Oreochromis niloticus: one gene and its partners. The protein of the gene in region 3 binds, or shares a complex with, the protein of the main gene of each other region. Links are inferred from orthologs where the notes say so. Each region holds a gene or a part of one and is shown on either strand. Other genes may lie near its edges. The genes, in order: ndufab1b, nfs1 and fdx2.

What was found.
Region 1: fdx2 (region 3) and ndufab1b share a complex: the UniProt entries of both Homo sapiens proteins name them as parts of the mitochondrial core iron-sulfur cluster (ISC) complex. The link is inferred for Oreochromis niloticus from reciprocal best matches to the Homo sapiens genes FDX2 and NDUFAB1.
Region 2: the proteins of fdx2 (region 3) and nfs1 are in contact, whole or in part, in a cryo-EM structure (PDB 8RMC), measured with the Homo sapiens proteins. The link is inferred for Oreochromis niloticus from reciprocal best matches to the Homo sapiens genes FDX2 and NFS1. Residues at the interface, in NP_001384335.1 of Homo sapiens: Ala104, Cys105, Glu106, Ala110, Cys111, Pro141, Leu142, Ile169, Thr170, Arg171, Asn172, Phe173, Tyr174, Val175, Asp176, His178, Lys181; in NP_066923.3 of Homo sapiens: Gln153, Lys157, Leu160, Asp161, Arg164, Ala168, Tyr175, Ala384, Ser385, Leu386, Glu387, Pro388, Tyr390, Arg393, Gln456, His457.

Annotation. Positions count from the first base shown.
Region 1 is NC_031969.2:12,086,593-12,094,068, forward strand, and holds the start of ndufab1b (NADH:ubiquinone oxidoreductase subunit AB1b), read left to right. Parts: upstream 1-4,458; 5' UTR 4,459-4,516; coding exon 4,517-4,687; intron 4,688-5,522; coding exon 5,523-5,642; intron 5,643-5,982; coding exon 5,983-6,070; intron 6,071-7,227; coding exon 7,228-7,319; 3' UTR 7,320-7,343; intron 7,344-7,429; 3' UTR 7,430-7,476. Other genes in the region: dctn5 (dynactin subunit 5), read right to left, coding at 228-339, 533-651, 741-809, 989-1,036. UniProt on the Homo sapiens protein: Carrier of the growing fatty acid chain in fatty acid biosynthesis.
Region 2 is NC_031970.2:12,150,746-12,157,744, reverse strand, and holds the start of nfs1 (cysteine desulfurase), read left to right. Parts: upstream 1-3,923; 5' UTR 3,924-4,164; coding exon 4,165-4,270; intron 4,271-5,461; coding exon 5,462-5,532; intron 5,533-5,646; coding exon 5,647-5,763; intron 5,764-6,449; coding exon 6,450-6,533; intron 6,534-6,999. Other genes in the region: lg5h6orf89 (bombesin receptor-activated protein C6orf89 homolog), read right to left, coding at 1-118.
Region 3 is NC_031971.2:24,686,119-24,693,104, forward strand, and holds fdx2 (ferredoxin-2, mitochondrial), read left to right. Parts: upstream 1-3,972; 5' UTR 3,973-4,024; coding exon 4,025-4,211; intron 4,212-4,563; coding exon 4,564-4,615; intron 4,616-5,206; coding exon 5,207-5,313; intron 5,314-5,399; coding exon 5,400-5,487; intron 5,488-5,605; coding exon 5,606-5,762; 3' UTR 5,763-6,836; downstream 6,837-6,986. UniProt on the Homo sapiens protein: Electron donor, of the core iron-sulfur cluster (ISC) assembly complex, that acts to reduce the persulfide into sulfide during [2Fe-2S] clusters assembly on the scaffolding protein ISCU.

The DNA of each region.
Region 1 (7,476 bases), on a different chromosome or scaffold from region 3:
CCTATTTTTGTGATCCAAATCAACAGTGTAAAAAAAAAATGCCAGCTTATGTTTTTTGTTTATTAATTCAGCCCTCGACTGCCAGCAGAACGTTGCATGACTGCCATGTGACTGGTTCACCACAGGCAATAAAGACATGCTTTCTGTTTATTCTCTCCCTTCACAGCGATGTCCTTTCACTGCCGAGGAGCTAGCTGTGTGCGTGTGTGAGATTTTATTTCACTCACTATGACACAGTTCTTCCCAATGTGGACGTAGGAACCAATCTGTGCTGCGTTGACCACGCAGTCCTCCTCGATGAAGACGTGGTCTCCAATGTGCAGCGGGAAGAAAGCCACCCTGCAGGGGGCGACAGGGCAGTGATGAGACATATGCTTTTTCTGCTTACCATATTCTCTCCTTTATTCATTTGTACAGTGACTTTAAATATATCTTGAGTGACAATAATTAAAAACAATCTCAAAGCATCTTCATCTTTATCTAGAACATGAAAGCAGATGGCTGGCCTGAACGTGTGTCCAAGATACTTTACCCTTTGCTGAACTTTTTGAAAGGTGGTCGAATAACACTCCGGCTTTTCACCACGCAGTGTCTGCCCACCCTGACGTTAGCAAGGTCCCCCCTGATGATGCAGTCATTCATAACAATAGTCTGCAAGAGAGAACATCCAAAGACTAAGCTTTAGCACAGCTGGACAGTCTCTATTCACAGTGTCATTTCCAGGTGTGTGTTTTCCTTACTTTGCCGTTCAAGACTATGTTTTGACTCCCACATAGTACCGACTGTCTGCTCACTTTGTTGCCAGAAGCCTGAAATAGAACAATAACAACGGTTAATAATCGTGTGAACGATCGTATCTGTTTCTGTCCACATAAATGAACACAAACAACCGTCTCTGCTCTCCGCCCAACGCCCCGTTCACTTTCTGCTTGGACAGATAGCAGGCTACGTTAGCTTAAACAGCGGTGATTAAAATCCCACACAGTACCGTCTCAATGTACTCCGCTTTGTTGTACAGTATTTCAGACAACTCCATGGCTGGAAACCCGCTGAACTATCAAACACAGCGATGATTATTCTGCGATACTGTCTAAAGCATCGATCCGGATTTTCTCTATGGGAAGCTCCTTCTACGCTTCTCTTCTGCGCAAGCCCGGACGTGACGCCATCAAATAACTTTATTTAAAACATGAGAAATCGAGGAACAGAAAAACAAACAAACAAAACAGACATAATAGATATTCATGTGTAAAGATTAAAAAATAAATAAAAACTACTACTACTACTACTAATAAAAGCTTTTATAAACAACAACTGTCTGTATATTTTGTGATAGGTTCGGGGATTTTTTTTATGATTTCTCCAATGAGACTAAAAACACTGAGGGTTAAGCTGGGTTTAACTGAAGTGGTGGCCCGAAAAGCTACATGCGCTGTGCAGCAGGGGCGGTTCTAGAAGGGTGGCATGGGAAGTGCCACCCTAAAATGATCCCTTGCCACCCCAAGTGCACCCCAGTTTTGCATATGACAGTGTTGTTTATTAAAATAGGATAGCATTAACACTTTGAGCGTAGTTACAGTCAACAGTGAATATAAATGCTAAAACTGAATATATTGCATAGTGTTACCCCCCCCGCACCTTTAACAAATGGTTCAGCCCATAGCAGGACCGGCTTTTTTCTTGTTTTCAGTAGCAAGTGATGCTTATGGTTGTTCCAGAGCACATTTTGAACAACACCATGGGGATTTCAGATTTCACACAGGTAGTTGGTTGTAACACTCTGGAAATGGAATGAAGATGAGTGTTATTAACCCTCTGTGGTCCACGGACACGCTGCACCTCCAAATCACATGACTGATTTAAGCAACAAGCTGCAGCCACGCTGAGTCTCTATTTCAGCCCATATTGAAAGTTCGGACTTCAAAGTTTTTAAATTTTAATTACAGCCCAGTAAATCCAGAGTTATGATAATATACATAAGCCATGCTTTTTTCTAAATACTGTCATCACGTTTTTTTCTGTGTGTATGTTTTTTTTAAAGCGTTTTCTAAGGACAGCGCGAAAACAGTAAAGAAAGAAAAAAAGCCACCTCTTTCCTATCGGTGGAAAAATGTACCATGCAGACCAATTTAGAAAAAAGTCAACATGTGGGATTTGGTTGTTTAGGAAGAGGGGAAAGTTTTGGGAGTGACGGTAACGGCAGCGAGACAGAGCGAGCGAGTGAGAAAGAGAGAGTTTAGATGTGGGAGATTTATGACGTTTAGTGTGGAGTGTATACTTAGTGTGTTGTGTTGTCTTGTGTAGTTGTTCTGTTGTGTAGTCGTTTTGTTTTGTGTGTCAGTGATGGCACTAATGAATGTCACAAAGGCACATTTGCAATGTAAACACTGTCAATAAGTAGAGAACCAGCGGAGTGATACACCTGCTGTTGTCAGGCCTGCAGGTTTATCCCTGTGCTGTTCGCCTCTGTCTTTTGGTGGAAAAACATTTTTTTACTGCCACACATAATTTGTGACACCTGATTGTTCTCTCATTTTAGTTTTAGTAATATTTTTAAATGGTTGTACAAAATGGAAAAAAAAACCCAGCAGGTGTATTGGCTGCATTTTTAGATAAATAGTTGTATATGTTTATAAATGTACAATTTATATTTGCATTTCAAGTTATAAAAATTTACTCAACATGTCTGTGGGTTTTTTTACAGTAAAAAAATACTACCAGGATTTTAAGTTCTTTGTGTGATTTCAGATCAGTAATACTAATGCAGTATGTCAGTGAAAAAAAACAACTACATTCAGACAAATTCAGCTGAGCTGAAAAGAATGATACCAAACAAGGCAAGGGGAAAAAATAAAATGAAACAATTTGAGGGTGAAATATGAACGTAAACTCAAAAGGAGTCAAAAATGTCCGGTTGTATTTCAGACCTCAGTGGGTTAATCCAACAAATCAAGAAAAATTAGGTTTAAATTTTTGTTCATGACAGTGCAGATTTCTGACATTTTGTGTAATTTAAGCATGTAACAACGTGATTGTTTTCTAACAAAAAACAGTGTGAAACTTAAGTTAGACTTGTGTTTGTAAATGTACCGCCCCATGTTGTGTAGCTTTCTGGATTTTATACTTATTGGGCTACATATTTATTTATTATACAGGCTATACAGTACATAGCATCAAAACTCACATGTTTTATGTAACTAAAGTGTTTAATTATGTGGGCTACAGACAATAATTAAGTTATAGACTATATTTATATGAAAAGCATGTATACTTACTGCATTTGAATCATTTTAACCATATGTAACCACCTGCATATGTGTATGGTAAAAAAGGCTTTGATTTTGCCACCCTATTTGATTGCTTTGCCACCCTCATGCCACCCTAAGAAAATTTCTCTAGATCCGCCCCTGGTGCAGCGGTGATGAGGAAACTTAAAAACAAGATCCTGGAGGAGTGTTTTTAAACAGCCGGGACCTTCAGAGAGAGGAAGAGCAGAGGAAGAGACTCTGGACACTCGAGGGTTTTTGTCAGAGGATATGTTATTCAGGCAGGTGGGACGGAAGTAGAAGAAACAGGAAGATGAAAAGGGCTGTGGCTCTTACAAACTGAAGTGTAATCTGCCTGAAACCCTGGAGACATCACTGCTACCTGGATCTAGCAATCAGGCAGTCAAAACTCCCAGAGGAGGCAGAGAAAAAGCCGACACAGGGAAAAACACAGAAACACAGCTTCCATGGGAGCTTCCATGTCTGATAAACTGAGCCTAAAAGTTTGTCGTTGTCCATTTTTATTATCTAATTTTTGTAGACTTCATAACTTCATTTTAGCAGTATTATTGTACACCTAAAGAGCTGAAAGCAACATCTTCGATACTTGTTTTTGTTTCATTTGCACAATCCAAGTCTTGTTTTATGAATGTGAAAATCTCCCAAGAGGGACATCATTACTCTCAAAGCATACTATGATGACCTTTTTTCGAAGTTAGATTATTTTTTTAGGTTTCCCTCTAATATAATGCTCCACATCTGTCCAGATCATTGTGCAAAATACACTCTGATGTGCATCTGCAGCTCACAAAACGTGCAGGAATATTCGACGTCGTGTGTAAACATCTCCGGTGTTTGTTTGGTTTTTTACTGGATATATCTTATGAATTATTTGAAAAATAAACTTTATTGCCACATTAAAAGAAGATATGAAGTGGAGCAAGTGTCGTTTTACTCATTTAGATAATCATAAAACGACTCTGTGATCGATTAGTCTTCCCTGGATTGAATCCTTGCTCTTTAACATTTTTATTTTCCAGTTAAATCAAAGTCATTGGCAGGTTCTCAGTACCCATGTGCTCGTGGTGAGAAATGGACGGGGTTTAAATTTTAAAAAAAGCGCAGATAAAGCGACAAATTAGAAATAAACACAAGGTTTGCACTGTGCGCATGCGCAACGCGAAGCCCTTGACCCGCTTTTCTTCTTCTTCGCCTCGCACGCTGGTAGCTCCCAGTAACTGCTCTCCGTCATGGCGGCTCGTGTCCTGCAGCAGTGTGTCCGCTCCTTCGCTCGGCCCTCGCTGAGGCTTTGCTCCAATAACCTCGCATTAAGAGTTACTGCCGCCCCGGCGGCGGCTGTTCACCGACCTCTCTCCTTCGCTGCAGACAGCCGGAGGACGCGGTGGCTCGTCCAGAGCCGGGTGAGTCTCCGGTAACATTGAACCATCGCGGCCTAGCCGCTGTGACCTACCGATGTCTTTCAGAGCTGTGGGGCCAGCCTAGCCCGCTGAGAGTTCACGGTGTCACACGAGCAGCCTGTTTCGCTTTGAACGACTCTGTGTTGTTGTGGCAGAGAAACACGAAACACGGAGGGGTTTGCTTTTAAAAACGGAACAGCCATGTTTTCCCTGTTGGCTAGCTAGCTAGTTAGCAAAGTCGGTGATTTCATTGACAGACTTGTGTTGTTGCACTTGCAACTTCATTCTTTAACCTAGCCTAGCACTGCACGACTGATTCTGGCTAAACACCAGATACTAATGTGCAGCAAGGTAAAGCACTGTTGCAGTGCGGATGTTATTATGTATTACGTTAAGTGTGTTTATATAACACTGTTAGAATAATGTTACAGGTGTTTTAGCAAGCTGTGCACAACCTGAAGTGGGTGTGCAGCGTTGTAAGTGAACACTAATGCGCTGATAAATGCGTTTAATTGCAAATTTAGTCAAATGAAACCATAATGCAGTAATTACAGTTGAGATAATAAAGTCAGCCACACATTAAAAGCTTGAAAAGCAGCACAGATTTCCTCTTGGTCAAAGTTAAGTAAGATTTAAGTTTTATTTTGAAACTTGGATAAACTTTTTCCAGCCTTTACATCTGTACTGTTGCACAGTGTACTCGAAGTTATTGCTTCTTTTCACACTGTATGTAGTACACTCTCACTTGAGGCAAGCTAATGTATAGGCTGCATGATCACAACCCCCCACTCCCCTCTGCACTAATAATTTCTTCCCTTTTCTTCTTTGCAATCCTTAGATCCCCTCGGTGGGTGTGCTGTGTCGACAGTACGGAGACCTGCCCCCCCTCACTCTAGAAACCATCAAAGAACGAGTCATGTATGTACTCAAGCTCTACGACAAGATCAACCCAGAGAAGGTGAGAACAACAAGAGACCTTCAGTGAATTCTAGCTGAAAGATGTATGAATATAACACGTTCACAGGTATCTGTGAGGTGAAATTAGGCAATCGCGACTCATCCCTATCCAGAATGGCTCATGGAAATTGTTTTTGAAAAGTTTGCTGTTTTTAATGTATTAAATGTAATAAAAATTAGATTTTTAACTTGGAAAAATAATCTAAAATTAATACTATCATTCCTCATGTAGATTTGGTTTGTTTTATTTTGTAAAGCACCCTGAAATGCCTGTAGTGTTTGCAAGTTTCTGTATAAGTAAGCTTGAATTTCTAACCCTCTGGTTGGTTTCTGTTCCACAGCTGCAGACGAGCTCTCACTTCATGAAAGATTTGGGTTTGGACAGCTTGGACCAGGTGGAGATCATCATGGCCATGGAAGATGAGTTTGGTGAGAGCAAACCTCTTTACACTGCATAGAAAACTATTCCAAACTGTGGCTCTAGGCATTAAGTCAGCAAAAGAGATGTTTCTGACTCCTACAGTGCAGTGCAGAATGTGACTGCTGTTGTACTGCCACAGTGGAAGTAATTGAATAGGAATCTTAGATTTGCCTGCATGTGTGGATATGAAACACCAGTCTTGCAGTCTTCCTACCTGTTGAGCGTCAAAGTGCTGTCAAGTTTGTCTTCAGAGGGTAAATGTGGCGCTCTGTGTGGACGTCCCACATAAAGCAAGATTTACTCAGAGTATATCCTGTGGTAGAAACACTGTAGTACACATCATTCTACAGTATTTATTTGTTGGATTCATCTTGAAAACTGATTTAGAAAGTGATTGAAGGTTGCAGTTTGTTGCTTTTTACTTTTTGACTTGTAATAATTCTGCAGATTTAAACGAATCAGGAATCTGTACTTTTGATAAATGGCTGATTTATATAATCTGTTTGGGAAGTAAATAGTAAACAGGGATGAGGAGATGGAGCAGCCATTCTGCAAATTAGAAGGTTGGTGGTTTGATCCGAAGCATCTTGGGGCAAGATACTGAACCTGAAACTTCAGTGTGTTTATTGGAGTGCGAATGAGACGTGTTGTATGAAGTGCTGTTAGTGCTCTATAAGAATCAGTCCATTTAGCATGAGTGCACACAGGAGCCTCAGTGGTGACTTCTTAGTCAAATGGTAGGTTTGATAACTGTACATCAGGGCTAATGCACTTCCATACAAGGTCAAGGCCAGGTCAAGAGGTAAAAGGAAGTCCTTTCAGAGCCTTTGTCTAAACTCTGTCCTGGGTGGATTTATAGTATGCTGAGAACAGGGTTCTTAGAGGGTTCTAGAGTCATTTTTGGCAGTTAGCAGAAAATTTAAATCAGAATCAAATGACTTTTTTTTTCTTATTTTAATCAGTTAGTGCATCAGTGCAGTGACTCTTAAGATAACAGACTAACAGCTTTTAATGTGTGACCATAACCCCCACAGGTGAGGACGTAGTACCAGCGAGATGTTTGCGACCATCTGTGCAGAAAGCCGCTTATTCGTCCAGCATTATCGATGCATGTCACATGGCTTCTTTAGCACACGCCGTAACCAATAACTTGTTTGTGCTGCAGGCTTTGAGATCCCAGATGCAGAAGCAGAGAAGTTGATGACTCCTGAGGAGATCGTACAGTACGTCGCAGACAAGAAAGACGTTTATGAGTAATCTGCTCTGTAGCACACCACAGAGGCAAGTCACCACCAGGCCCAGTTTTCTGTCTTTGGTCACATGTTGTTGTGTCGGGGCTCAATTTATATTCCTTTGTGCCCACATAGGGTCACCTCCACCCCACCCACCCAACACGAAGTTCTTGTGAAGCAGA
Region 2 (6,999 bases), on a different chromosome or scaffold from region 3:
TGATGAACCTCTCGATCTCCCTCTCCGACATTCCATAGCGGTAACCCGACTGACGGAGGATGTCGATGCTCTCGGACAGTTTATCATAAATACACGGCTCGCTCATCGTTGTCCCCATGATGGCGGCAGTGGCGACAGCTTCTTAGTCAAACGTGTCGATTTTCAGTTGCTAAAGGCTCTTGGAGCATGGCGTCACCTGTGAAATCAACCAAGGGGTCAGCTGACATGTCACAGCTTTCAGCACTAGCAAGTTACCATCACTGAAGGTGCAGATAATGTGGAAATACTTCTATGTTTAATCTGAATGTGGTTGAAAGTTTCCTCCATTGCCCTCTTGGCCACTCACACAAACAAGTTTGTTCTTCCAGACACTGTCACAAACCTTTCAAATGAATTTCTGGCTTTCATAACTAAAACATATATTACAATATCATCCCTACTACCATCTTGATTTGTGAGATTAATACGGCGGATTTATTATCTTCATGCACAGTTGCAAATTATTATTTGACTTATTAGATCAGCTCTGCAGGACTCTCAAAAGGTCCAGTACAAGTCTCATCTTGTACTCTGTGCAATTGCTTAGGGCAAAAATTAGAGTCCCGGGATCTCAATCTGGGCTTCAACGGAGTCCAACTACAATGCTTAGACAGCAGTTCTTGTTCTGCATTGGAGATCTGCTGCAAACTGGAGGCTCATGCTAACAGTAATCTGCAGCATGTGGAGAACTGGTTGATGTGTCGCTATGCTGACATCACCAAAGCTGCAGAGGAGAACAAGGACAACCAGCTGCAGCCCAAGATAGGAGAGCTAGAATCCTTCCAGCAGATGAAAAACTCAATGAAGAGATGTCTGATACCTGCTCTGTTAATTAGAGCCAAAAACTACTATAGAGTAGCATTTATTAATAAACTTAAAGAAAATGGGGATGCACCTCCTTTCACATAAAAATGCACACACTCTGACCAAGCCACAGCTTTTATTAATTTTTAAGAAGCTAGGTTGAGATCATCTGTGGGCCATATTCTCTTGTGTCAGTTCTACATGGACTTTGGCATCAGTTACAGATAACTTTGCAAAACAGCCCTGTTCTGATAACATGAGGTTGGTGGCAACATTTACATATGCAGCACTCCAAAAATGCCCGTTAAGAATGCTGCATGTATAATTTTAGAACTTCTTTTTTCTGACAGCAAGAATTAAAAACCCCACAGGGACAAGTACTTCTTTTACCCTTCATTTCAAATGAAGGGTATATGATCTCTAAAGTCCTGTTCACAGATCAGTTATGTACTTGAGCTTGGTTTCGAACATCTAAATAAGTAAATAGTGAAGAGAACCTATGTATTTGTTTGTTTGTTTATTGCTATCTGATCATAATGAAACAAGTGGTTCTTTCCAAAAGAAAGGGTGCAGGCCAAAGCAATGGCTTGCATACGATGCACCCCACATACATAAAACAAGCATCCAGAAAGTAACATTATAACAGAAACATTACCAGATAGCCACAGTATCAAAGCTGGAATCCGAGACTTGCACTTGTGGAGCAGGACGATAATTAGAAGCATGCCACCAAATGGCTCAAAGAAACAAAACAAAAAACAATATAAAGGTTTTGAAGTATCCTAGGCAAAGTCCAGGCTTAAATCCGATTAAAATGTTTTGGCATGACCTTAAAAAGGCTTTTTGTGCTTAAAAATCCAGAATTAAAACAATTCTGTCAATAAGGGTGGGCCACAGTGATGTGAAACACTCATTGCCAGTCATCACAAATGCTTGACTGCAGCTCTTGCTGCCAAGAATGGCAAAACCAATCAGCTTTAGGGCCAATTACTTTTTCACACAGGGTCGAGCAGGTTTGTGTAGCTTTTTTCAGTTTGTAAATTAAACCATCATTTAAAAACTGCATGTTTTATTGACTTGGGTTTCATTTTTTTAATATTAAAATTTATGTAACAAATTTAAAAATAAAGTAAAACACATACACACATCAAAAAGGAAAAAAAAAAATCAGGGAGGGGGAAATCACAGCACGGTACGCTGCAAAATATGGGGATCAAGGTAAAATTAGTGGACCCTGTCTCCACACAGACTGTCCAGTGTAGGTAAACTGATAAATATTTCTCACTTACTTATGTTCCATAATAATATCTATACGAAAACAAGAACGATAAGCTACTATTACATATTCCAATACAAATTCAGTTTCAATGCGAACGTGATATCAGACTCAGACTCGGGAGTTAAATCCCCACAGTGTTTAGTTCTGCTTTTTACTCGTCGTTGTAAATAACAAGTAGGCATTGACGCTCATGTTGGCGTCTAACGTTCAGGAAACTAGTTTTCTCTCCTCTTCATCTTTAATAACTACGATCAGTGCAGCTGCTACGACCAGAAAACGCATGTAAATGTTAAATATAACACTACCTAATTTATTCGTTAATTTGACAGAAGCATAAACCCATTATATTATTTGATACGAATAAAAACAAAACCCCAAAACGTTTTTACCGTCCTGCCAACAGCAGCATACTGACAGATTAGCTCGTCTCTGCGAGCTTTCACATTACGAGCAGAAACCTCAAACTCACCTCAAAGCGAGATCCACCGCTCAAAAGGTTTAATCTTCCATCTCCGGTGTTTTTAAAAATAATATATAAATAGAGTTTTTAAAAGTGACCTAGCTAGGTAGCTAATGAGCTACATTCGGCTTCTCTTCCGCTTCTACCTTTTCTTCTTCTGTATTGGGCGAACATCAAAAAAGCGCCACCAGCTGGTATGGAGTTTGGGTCTGAATTTAAATATTGCATTATCCATCCATTCTCTTCGAGGTCGCTGGAGTCTATCCCAGCTGTCTTAGGGCGAGAGGCGGGGTACACCCTGGACAGGTCGCCAGTCTGTCGCAGGGCTAAAACATAGAGACAGAAAACGATTCGCACTCACATTCACCTATGGGCAATTTTGGAATCACCAATTAACCTCACCCAACGTCTTCGGACTGTAGGAAGAAGCCCGAGAGAACCAACGCAAACAGGGGAGAAGATGTAAAAACTCCTGATGGTGGAAGTGAACTCAGGACCTTCTATGCTGTGAGGAAACAGTGCGAACCACTGCTAGCAAGATTGTTCTTGTCTTTGTACTTTTACACTGTTAAGCATAAAGTCTTACTCCTGAAATATACACAAATAGTTATACAGTACAACACTTTCCCCCAAAATTTTACTGAAGCAAAAATAGATTATTTAAAAGTAGTGTACTCATAAGATGCTGAAACATACTGAAACCACATTGCACAAACTCGTTGCTTTAGCCAACCAGAAAGCAGAAGCGGTACCAAAACACAGAAAATTAACGAATCAGAGTGGCGAATGTTCACAGGAACTCCCGCCTCCTATTTCCGTTTCTTGTGCAACCATGAAACAGCATCGACATCGAGCTGCGTCAAGCTATCAAAGTAACCGAGTGAAGACACTGTAAAGAGGCGGAAGCTTAAAGTTAAAATAATGGGATTTTTTAAATGTATTGCATAATTTGTTTTGGCTGCTATAACACCAGGACTCCCAAGTTTTTGTGATAAAGAACATCTTCCATTATCTTACTTAAATTAATTAACAGAAACCTGAAGTTTTTACCCTGTAAAGTCCAAGACATCATTACTGGTGACCCTAGTCCAATTCTATGATATTGTTTTTACATTGTTACTTGCATTTATTTATCTGTTGTTGTTTTTTTTCTCTCCCCTTGACAATCAGAGGACAAAAATAGCTATCAATCCGACTGATAAGTATCCAAATATATGTGCATATTATTTATTTTTTCAGAAAATAATCCATTTTATATGAACAAAAGCAATGGTTATCAATGCGATGGTTGTGAAAAGCTTTTAATTTGAAAGTCTCACACGGAAGTGTTCGTGTTACGTATTCATCTTGACGTTTGTGTTTATACCTGGACGTAACAGACAGGCGGCAACATCACCGAACTTCACTCAAATTTAACCTCATGTTTAAGTAGTGATATATTTTTTTAATTTTCTTGTCGAGGAACCAGTGGGTTAAACTGGTCTGTGCCAAGTTTTCTGTTTTGCTGGTGTTCATATTACGAACAGCGTGCTGTTTTTGACGGAGGTCAGCGGCTTTCCAGTTAAGCCAGTCCACTGACAAGATGCTTGCCTCGGGTAGGACCGTGTCCTCCCGGCTGCTGAGGCCAACCGCGTGGCTTCCTCTCCGGCTGAGCTCCGAGCGGACGGCCGCTAGCTCCCCGCAGAAAGGTAACAACAGCCCGGAGCAAACTGGGTAGCTTATCCCCCCAAGACCAACTAGCACGAAGCTAATCCCAAAGTGACGCAGTTTAGTAAGGAGGCAGGAAACTTCACAGCATCTGTAAACTGTCAGGTTAACTGACCACTTTAAAATGCCTGTGAGGTCAGGAAAACCTAAAACATACTAAATTAAAACACTAAAAAACGGGAAGTTCACGAGAACTAGCTGACTGGCACAAGATGAAGCAATCTTGTTAAATAACTGTTTAAAAAAGATTTTAATTTATGTTCTGATATTCTCTGTCTCACTCTCCATTTTTATAATGTTAAAATCTGGCACGTTACTCTTGACTTCATTGCCAGATTGACAACATTTTTTTAATGTATTTTATACAAAAATGCGTTAAAAATATGGAGTCAGGCCGAAATTTGTGCTCATTGTCTCCACACAGATGAGTCAGTCTAGAGAAGTGAAAATTAATTAATCTATTCATTTGTGGTCATTAGTTCATTAGTTAATTCATAAGACTAATGGGAAGATTGTTGTTCTACTTATTAAATGAGGCAGAATAAAGACCAGTCCCACGTTCTTTATTTTAAATATAAAATAAGCACAAAGCAAAATGCTACTATTACATATTCCATACAAATATGCCTTGACACTGAGTCAGGGTTTTAAAAAAAATTTTTATCTGAGTTTTTAATTTTTGTTTGGCTGTAAAGGCACAATTGATGATGAATTTAACTAATTGATGACCTCCTGCCTGGTACAGATTTATGACCCAGTATGTTATTCCAGATCTGATTAAACACTTAGTAAAATGCTCTTTTCAGGCAGATCTTTAAGTCTCATAAAACACTGAATTGAGTTTCCTTGTTTAGTTTTTTTTAAAAAGTGGAAAAATCACATTGACTTTTAAATGTAATGAACAGCTTGTGACTTTACTGATTTATGAACTTCTAAATAAACATTTAAACATTAAACATTTTTTTAGTGTTTAGCTAATCCATTTATCAATTTACTGCCAGTTACCTAGGTCAAGGTGAATAAAAAATAATTCAAGGCCATATTGTCTTAACAGTTTTCCCATTGATTTCACAATTTAAATGCTGTTTTTTTTTTTTTTTTACATTAATAAATTTAATGTGGTCTTAAAAATGGCTTTAAATGTCTTAAATATACTGTACTTTATGCTGCAGAGTTGATCAAGAAACATGAACAGGATGAGCTTCGCCCCCTCTACATGGACTTCCAGGCAACCACTCCCATGGTAACTCTTACTAAGCGTTTTCTCACTTTTACAGGCTTCTACAGCTGATGTCAGAGAGAGTTGGACATAAAGCTGGTTGTACTTAGAGTTTCATATGTTTGTGTGTGTCTTTAGGATCCCCGGGTGCTGGATGCCATGTTGCCATACCAGGTGAATTACTACGGTAACCCTCACTCCAGAACGCATGCCTACGGCTGGGAGAGTGAATCTGCCATGGAGACCGCTAGGAAGGTAGAGAGCTGCTCCATCTTTAGAAAAGTGTAAATAAGCACAGCCCAGATATGGCCCTTGGCTAGTTTAAATCTGGTCCATATATCACTTTGGCTTGCTCAGTTGTAGCTGTGGTATGCAAAGAGACGTAGGCCTCATGCAAGCTAGTGAACACACCAAAATGGAGCGCTGATGCTGAATGTTTGAATTCAGATTTCACTGAGAGTCACTGACTGACTGTATGTATATATGCATGCGCACACACACACACACACACACACACTGAACAGGTATTATGTCCACTGACAGGTGAAGTTTGTCTTCATCATGGCAGCTGTTAGTGAATGGAATATATTAGGGAGCAAGTGAGCATTTTGTCCTCAAAGTTTATGGGTTAAATCAGGAAAAATGGCCACGCATAAGAATTTGAGCAAATTTCTCAATGGCCAAATTGTGATGGCCACTGGGGCTGAGTTAGAGCATCACCAGAACTGCAACTCTTGTGAGGTGTTCCCAGTCATCAGTATCTTTCAGAAGTGGTACAAGGAAGGAACGGTGATGAACCAGCAACACGGTCGTGAGCGGCCAAGGCTTATTGATGAACTCATAAAAGTGGGCCAGATCTATTATGGAAAAATCAGATTAGAAACATGTGAGTGAATCTGTTTGGTGAGGTTTTTTGGGGTTTTTTCTTGCTCTCTGAGCAGCAGGTGGCTGATCTGATTGGAGCCGATCCCAGGGAGATCGTCTTCACCAGCGGAGCCACAGAGTCCAACAACATGGCTATCAAGGTCCTACTCTCTTGACCTTAATCACTTTCTCTCACACAAACACGCACAGGTTTTGTTTTGGTGAAAACTGATCAAAAATATAAAATGCGGACAACAGATTAAAAATACAACTCTTACAAAATAAGAACACTGTAAAAAACAAAGTGATAAACTACATGAGAAATAAAAAAGAAGATATGAACAAAACCATGAAAACACATAAAACAGTTAGAGCAAACTTAGAATGTGAACTGATTAATAAAACTCCTTAAAACAAAGCTGTCATTAACAAAACTCTTTGTATTGTTAATGATTTGGATCCTTCTTCTGAATCAAACTGTACAATATTAAAATGCAAAAACTTGTGATAAAAATGGAATTTGTCAATCACGTTGAGAACATTTAATTAAAAGAACTTTACTGTGCACATTAGGCAAATAAGTCAGCTGACAGGAAAAAGTATCATCTGTTTTCACTGTTTCACTGA
Region 3 (6,986 bases):
TTTGCTCTTACCTCTGGCAAGTCATCAACAAGCCATTTCCAGAGAACTAGCGCTCACTGGATATTTTCCTTTTTTTCTGACCATTTTCTGTAAACCCCAGAGACGGTTATGTGGGAAAATCCCAGTTTTTTTTCTTTAAACATTCAGACCAGCCTGTCTGGCACCAACAACAACCATGCCACATTCAGAATCGCTTAACTGATACTCAGTTTGAACTTCAGTGAGTGGCCTTCATCATGTCTACATGCCTAAAGGCACTGAGTTGCAGGTGATTGGATGATTCGAAATTTGCATTCAACAAACAAGTAGGCTGTTCATGTGTACCTAACAAAGTGTCCAGTGAGTGTATGTTATATAATAGGAGTTGTTTAAAGTTAAAAAGAGAGAGGGAATTCAATTTCAATTCAATTCAATTTTATTTATATAGCACCAGATCACAACAACAGTCTCCTCAAGGCGCTTCGCAGGGAAAAGCTGCATTGTGGTACGTTGGAGAGAGGTGGGGGGGTGGGGTGTCATTAACAAGGAAAAAGAACAGGGGAGTGCTGATAGGAGTAATTGAAAGCACCCAAAGGACTGCAGACAAAAAAATGTGATTTTCCATGTCCCTGGAAACATAAGCAGCACATATATATGCATACTGTAGTCCCTGGGGATTCACCAGGTCACTGCATAACTGCAAAATGTCTCTGCACTATTCATGATGTCTCTGCTTAACTCTGGGTTAGCAACATTTGTTAGGAGAGTTTTTTTTTTTAAATCCAAGGGTGTGTATTGTGTGTCCACATCATTTCTAAGAAGTGCTTTGTTTAAATATTACAGTTGTGAGTAGATTTAAAAAGTAAGAATGTGGGGGTGTTTGAGTTTTTGCATAGCGTAGTCATCACGAAGCAAAGAAAATGTAATCTTAAGGAACAGCTACAGGCCACCTAACTAACCAGGTCAAGCGTAAAGAAACTCCACCCAATACATGTCAATACACACTCAAAAACACGCACGTCACACACACACACACACACACACACACACACACACACCTTCAAAACCTCGGGACAAAAGATGTAGGTTGTAAACTGACAGACTTCTCAGACACACATATAAACTGTCCTTTGACAATAGTACTATGCAGGTGTGTGTGTGTGTGTGTGTGTGTGTGTGTGGTGCATGTGTGCGTGAGTACACACATGAAAGTGTAACAGTGTTTCATTATGTGAATTTAGAGTACATAAAAAGTTATAATCTATATGCCAGCGAGTTGAGTGCCAGGGCTTACTATAAAATAAAGGGAAAAAAGCAGACAGAGGTCCCCATTTACTTTTTATAGCCATCCACACGGGAGGAACCTCCACAGCCAGAACCAGATGGGGGGTTTAGTGTGCATCTTAAACCCACTTTAAGTGTCTGCTTTTCCCCAAACCATAGTTCATTATGACACAGTGAAGGAAAGATAAGAAGTGAAGCAAGACTTCTAGTGATATCACGCAGAATGAGCTCATCGTTTTTTATTATAGGATCCCTGAGGCCAATAAATTACACCTCAAGTATCAACGCAGCGCTTTTCTGCAAAAGGGTTACATGCTTAATAGCAGCTGACTTTTTGCTCGGGTGGAAGTTGAGCACAAGAGACAGAGCAAGAGAGAAACAGAGCGGCTGAGCCTTTAACCTGCCTGTAGTCATAACATCACGTCTTTGTCTTTACACACAGTGGTCTCAGTCATACAGGGTCCTGCTGCCAGCCTGCATCATGTCTTATCTAAGATTGCCTTCAGCACATGCAGAACAGGGCAAAACATGAATTTATTGTTGTGTACCGTGGGGCATTCACAGAGGAAAGCACTGGGGCAATACTGTCTAATACTTCTGAAATATAACCTGCTTCCTTAATCAGAAGCATATAATTTTAACAGGCTTAGACTAGTCAAAGCTGCAGCTGTGTTGCGTAAGTATGTTATTTAAAATTTCTTCTTTTAAACAGTTTGAAATGTACTGCCATATTTTTTTTACATTAAGACATTATTTATATTATAACACTGAAGCATGTTTTGCACTTGTATGTGCTTATAGCTCCTAAGTGTATGGTAAATGTATTACTACCAGACATTTTGTTTAAATAGAAGGTAAAATAAAAAACCTTTATAGTCTATAATAACTTAGGTGTGCTGGTGCCTAATGGAGGCAACCTAATCTTGCTGTTTGTACTGAGTTCAGTCTATTCTTTTTTTTAACTGTTATTTAGATTTCAATTTATACTGAGTCTCCTGTGGTTAAATGTAATCTCGAACACGTCATCAATGATCTTTTTAAGGTATTAGTTCTTCAGTATTGTCTTTCTATGCTAGTTTATACAACTGTATAAAAGTCTTTGGCTATGACTCAGTTGAAAGCCAGTACTTGTTGAATATCTATTGAAACATTTGAAAACATAAATGAAAATAGAGTATATATGCAAAAAGATAGATAGTAAAAGTCTAAGGAGCTTGAAAGTCAGTATTAGGTATTATCACCTTTATTTCTGAACATGGCCTGTACTCTCATAGGCAAGCTTTCTTATACTTTCTTTAAGTAGTCTTCAGGAATAGTTATCCAGGCTTCTTGTAGTAAATTCAGAGCTCTTCTTTGGATGTTGGCTGCCTTTTGTTCTGTTCTCTGTAAAGATGATCCCACGCTGCTTTAATAATGTTGAGGTCCGGGCTCTGGGGAGAGGCAGGGTAAGAAGCAGGATACACCTTGGATGGGTCTCCAGTCTGTTGTTCGAAAACCATTCGCACTCACATTCACTAATTAAACTAATCCCACTGACTGCATGCATTGAGACTGTGGGAAAAAGCCAGAGTACCCACGCACACATGTGGAGAACATGCTGAAGGTCAGTGGATTTAAACCCAGGACCTTCTTGCTATGATGACTCAGTGCTAACCACCACACCACTGTGCTCCCATGTTCCATTGTGTGAGCGTGTGTGTTTTGCTTTCTGTCCCAGTTTGCTTTTACTGGACTGACAGAATGTTTGGAATCATTTTCATATAAAAAAAATATTATATTGGCTCTCAGATCCTTCCCAGATGGTTTTGCATGGTGGATCAAATTATTAATTTTTTTTTTTTTCTTTTTTTGCATTCAGAATTCTATCAGCTTTGACATTTAGCCTCAGACTATGACCGTCTCCACTGTGCTTTACAGATGGCTGTAGATACTTTATATCCTATATACATGTCAAATTCAGATTCATCATTCCATAAGACCTGTTCCCGTCTCAGCCTTTTCTCCCTGTTTCCCTTCCTTAGCTATCGCGTCTTCACATCCACCCTTTCACTAAGACCATTTCTGTTGAGGCTGAATTAAACAGCAAATGCAGAGGAGCAAGATGCATCTCTCAGGTCCTGTATCAGGTCTGTGCTGGATCTTCTGCTCTTTCTTAAGTACATGACTTTCAGATACTGTTCATCTTTTTTTATCATTCACTTGTGCAGTTTCCTCATTTTACGGAATTACATGAAAATCTACCCGTGTGAAAGTAAAATATAAATAAAGGAGGGATGGCTCGAGACTTTTTCATGGTGCTGTACTTCAGTACAAATTCATGTGGTACTTACTTACATACGTACTTCAATTTCTAAAATATATGAGAGCTTTGTGTGCTGACTTTTTTTAGTAAGCTGTATCATGAAATTATTCATATGTGCAACCTGTTAAACATATAAGCAGTGAAAAGAAAGTTCAAAAAAATGCAGCATTTACATATTAATACAGCAACACTAATGACTATCATAGACAGTCCCTCTCACAGGCTCCTTTCAACATAATGAGCTCTGCCACTTTTAGTAATTTCACAAAATTTTATCGTATAAGTTCATTTAGGTCCACGTGTGAACGTTTGTAACACAGACATAATCGGCCTTCTCTCACGTGCAGCTGGTGACGCAGGGGCACCCTCTGCTGTCAGAGAAACTCCTCACAGCAGAAATGTCCCCGCTCCGTTACTCGTTTCCTATTGGCTGCGTGCAGTCATGTGACCAAAACAGTCATGGCGGCCTCTGCTGCAGTCCGGTCGAGCATGGGACTGACTTTGAGGCTTTCTCGAGTTATCCCGGACTGTAGCACGTGTCCACTGTTCAGGTTAAAGTGTAATGCGAAAAATGCGGCTAATTTACAAAGGAAGGGGTCCTTTGATAGTTTCCGGACGATAAACCGACACTTACAGACGAGTATAGGTGAGTGGTGCAGCCTGCTAACATTTAGCCTAAAGCCGGTTTTCCTGTCAGGACTGTTTGTTTACGATAAGTCTGAATAGGTACTTATAATTTTTCTTCTTGGTGGAGTTTCAGTCATCGGCGATGCCAGGCAAGTTAGGCATTGCAGGAAGTCTGTAAAATTAGCAGTAATCTGCCTGGAAAGTCGGTTCAATAACACTTGTGTAACTTCGTTTCAGCATTCCCAGTTAGGGATGGTAAACTTCTGAAACTTGGGTGCAACAAGTAAATCAGCCCCATTATCAAAGTGGAGGAGCTGATGTCACCTTTGAATACTCTCACAGTAATGATGGCTGTGTTGCTCTTTCCTCAGGTCTTTACCACAGTGAGGAGGGGAGCTCCAATGCAGAGGACCCTGAGGATGTGTAAGTCAGCTGAGGCTTTTATTGTGAAATAACAGGGTACGGTGAACTGCACATAACTGGATGCATCGTAATACTTTTAATAAGAATTGTTATCACAGCTACTTCTGTCAAAAACTAAAGCCGAAGTTGCACGTAAGTGTAAATGGACAAATTAAAATAACTCACAACCAAAGCAGCGGCTGGATCCAGTTTAAAAGCACCCTAAACCACCACAGAGTGCTTATGCAAATCATTAATTTGAGAGCACATACTTAAAAATAAGCAGACCTCTTGTTGCATTTAAAGTTCTTTTTATTTAAAAATAAATAAAATACCAGATAAGCTTAAAAAATAGACCTCTGATACTTATTAGATAAAATTATTTATAGATTTTCAGACTTCATTATTTGTATATATTTTGTATATTATAAGTTGAGAATGGTGGAATAAACACTTGAATTATGGCCAAACACACATAAATGTCTGTTTCTTTAAAAAAACAAAAAACAAATTTTCTTTAAAAGCTCATCTAATCTTGAATGCATCACAGATGTGAGATATTGTATCACCTGTTTGTTTGTTGCTTTTAATAGTTTGATGTCTTCTGTTCAGTGTCAACGTGGTGTATATAGATCGGTCAGGCCAGAGGATCCCCGTGAAAGCTAAAGTGGGAGACAATGTCCTCTACCTGGCTCACAAGCATGGCATTGACCTGGAAGGTGAGGATCATTACAGATGAACTTTAGATGAACACCATTATCCTTGCACCATTGTCATTGAGATATTTGTGTCTTGGAATATTTAGGAGCCTGTGAAGCGTCTCTTGCTTGCTCAACATGTCATGTTTATGTGAGTGCTGCTCATTTTGACAAACTGCCAGAACCTGAAGAGAGGTAGGACTGCTACCAGTGCCATCTTATTTGACCATGTCACATTAAGTTTGGCAAATCTATGTGATGCAGTTTGAAAAAAAAAAAAATCATTATTATTGACATATATATCCATTCATAGGGAGGATGACATGCTTGACATGGCGCCGATGCTGCAGGAGAACTCCAGGCTGGGATGCCAGATCATTCTCACTCCGGAGCTTGATGGGATTGAACTAACCTTGCCCAAAGTCACCCGGAACTTCTATGTGGATGGCCATGTTCCCAAACCTCACTGAGAAGTGAAATAGAGGGTGAAGATGGGGTGTGGAGAAAAACTGGAGCTTTTAGCTTGGCGCTAGGCACCATGTGTACTGGTTGAGTTTGGGAGGGGGGGGGGCAACCATGGAAAAGGCATGACAAGGATAGAAAAGTCCATAGCAACTCCCAAGATGTCTTAACAACTGACTAATTCTACAGTTAACCACTGACAGGACAGTCCCTGCAGATGAGATCAGGCAGAGTCAGACACTACATCTCACAGTAGGTGATGTTACTTGGAAAAAAAACAAACTTTAAAAAACAAAAAGATGTTTAACAAATCCTGTATTTTTTGTTTTGTTTTGGGGGGTTTGTGGCACGTTCTCAGGCCAGCTTTATGACACCATTCAATCAAACTGTTCTTTTTTTGGAAAAAAAAAAGAGAACTGCAGGGGAAGACTTTATTTAACAGAGTTAAATCTTTCTGCTGATTAATGGAACATTCCTTGTTACAGCTCAAATACGCACAAGTATCACAAGATTGTCATTATCGTTTTGGCTAGTCCATTATTATCACTCTTGTCAGGTATTATATGCATAGCATTTACTTTTGTATGCACCATGCTCATTTATACATTTTTGTGTCTATGATGTAGAAGTACATTCTCACTGCCACGATCATCCTATTCTGCAAGACAGAAAAAAGCCATAAACAGTCATGTTTGCCTGATTCTTAAACACGGGCTCCTAAGAAATCAAAGCAGAATTTATACTATTGAAACTTATTTTGTATTTGCTCCAAACATTTCAGAAACATTCATGTGAATTGCATTTCAGATAAAAAGGTGTTTTAAAGCATTTCTTTGTAACTGTCAGTGATTAAGGCTTGATTAGAGGATCTGGTCCAGCTGGTTCCATAGCAGGATGGTGGAAATGGAAGTAGGACTGCATGGAAGCTGGTGATCTTCATGTTACCATAGTTTAAGTTTACCACATCTACCTTTTACTCAAGTCTACTGTACTTGTCCAACTTGCGCACAAGTGAATTGTGTATTTTATGTCTGATGAAATACAAATATTTTAAGTTGTGCAATAAAATCTGTTTAAAAAGATATTTTGAATAGTGCACTCACTACCTGGGGGCCTGGGCCTTCATAAAAAGGTCATTGTGCCCCCTCACCTGAATTCTACTAATGAACAACTTGAAACATTTGCGTCACTGAGGTTATTGCAGCCCAAGCTGAAGTTAATTGGTTAAATGA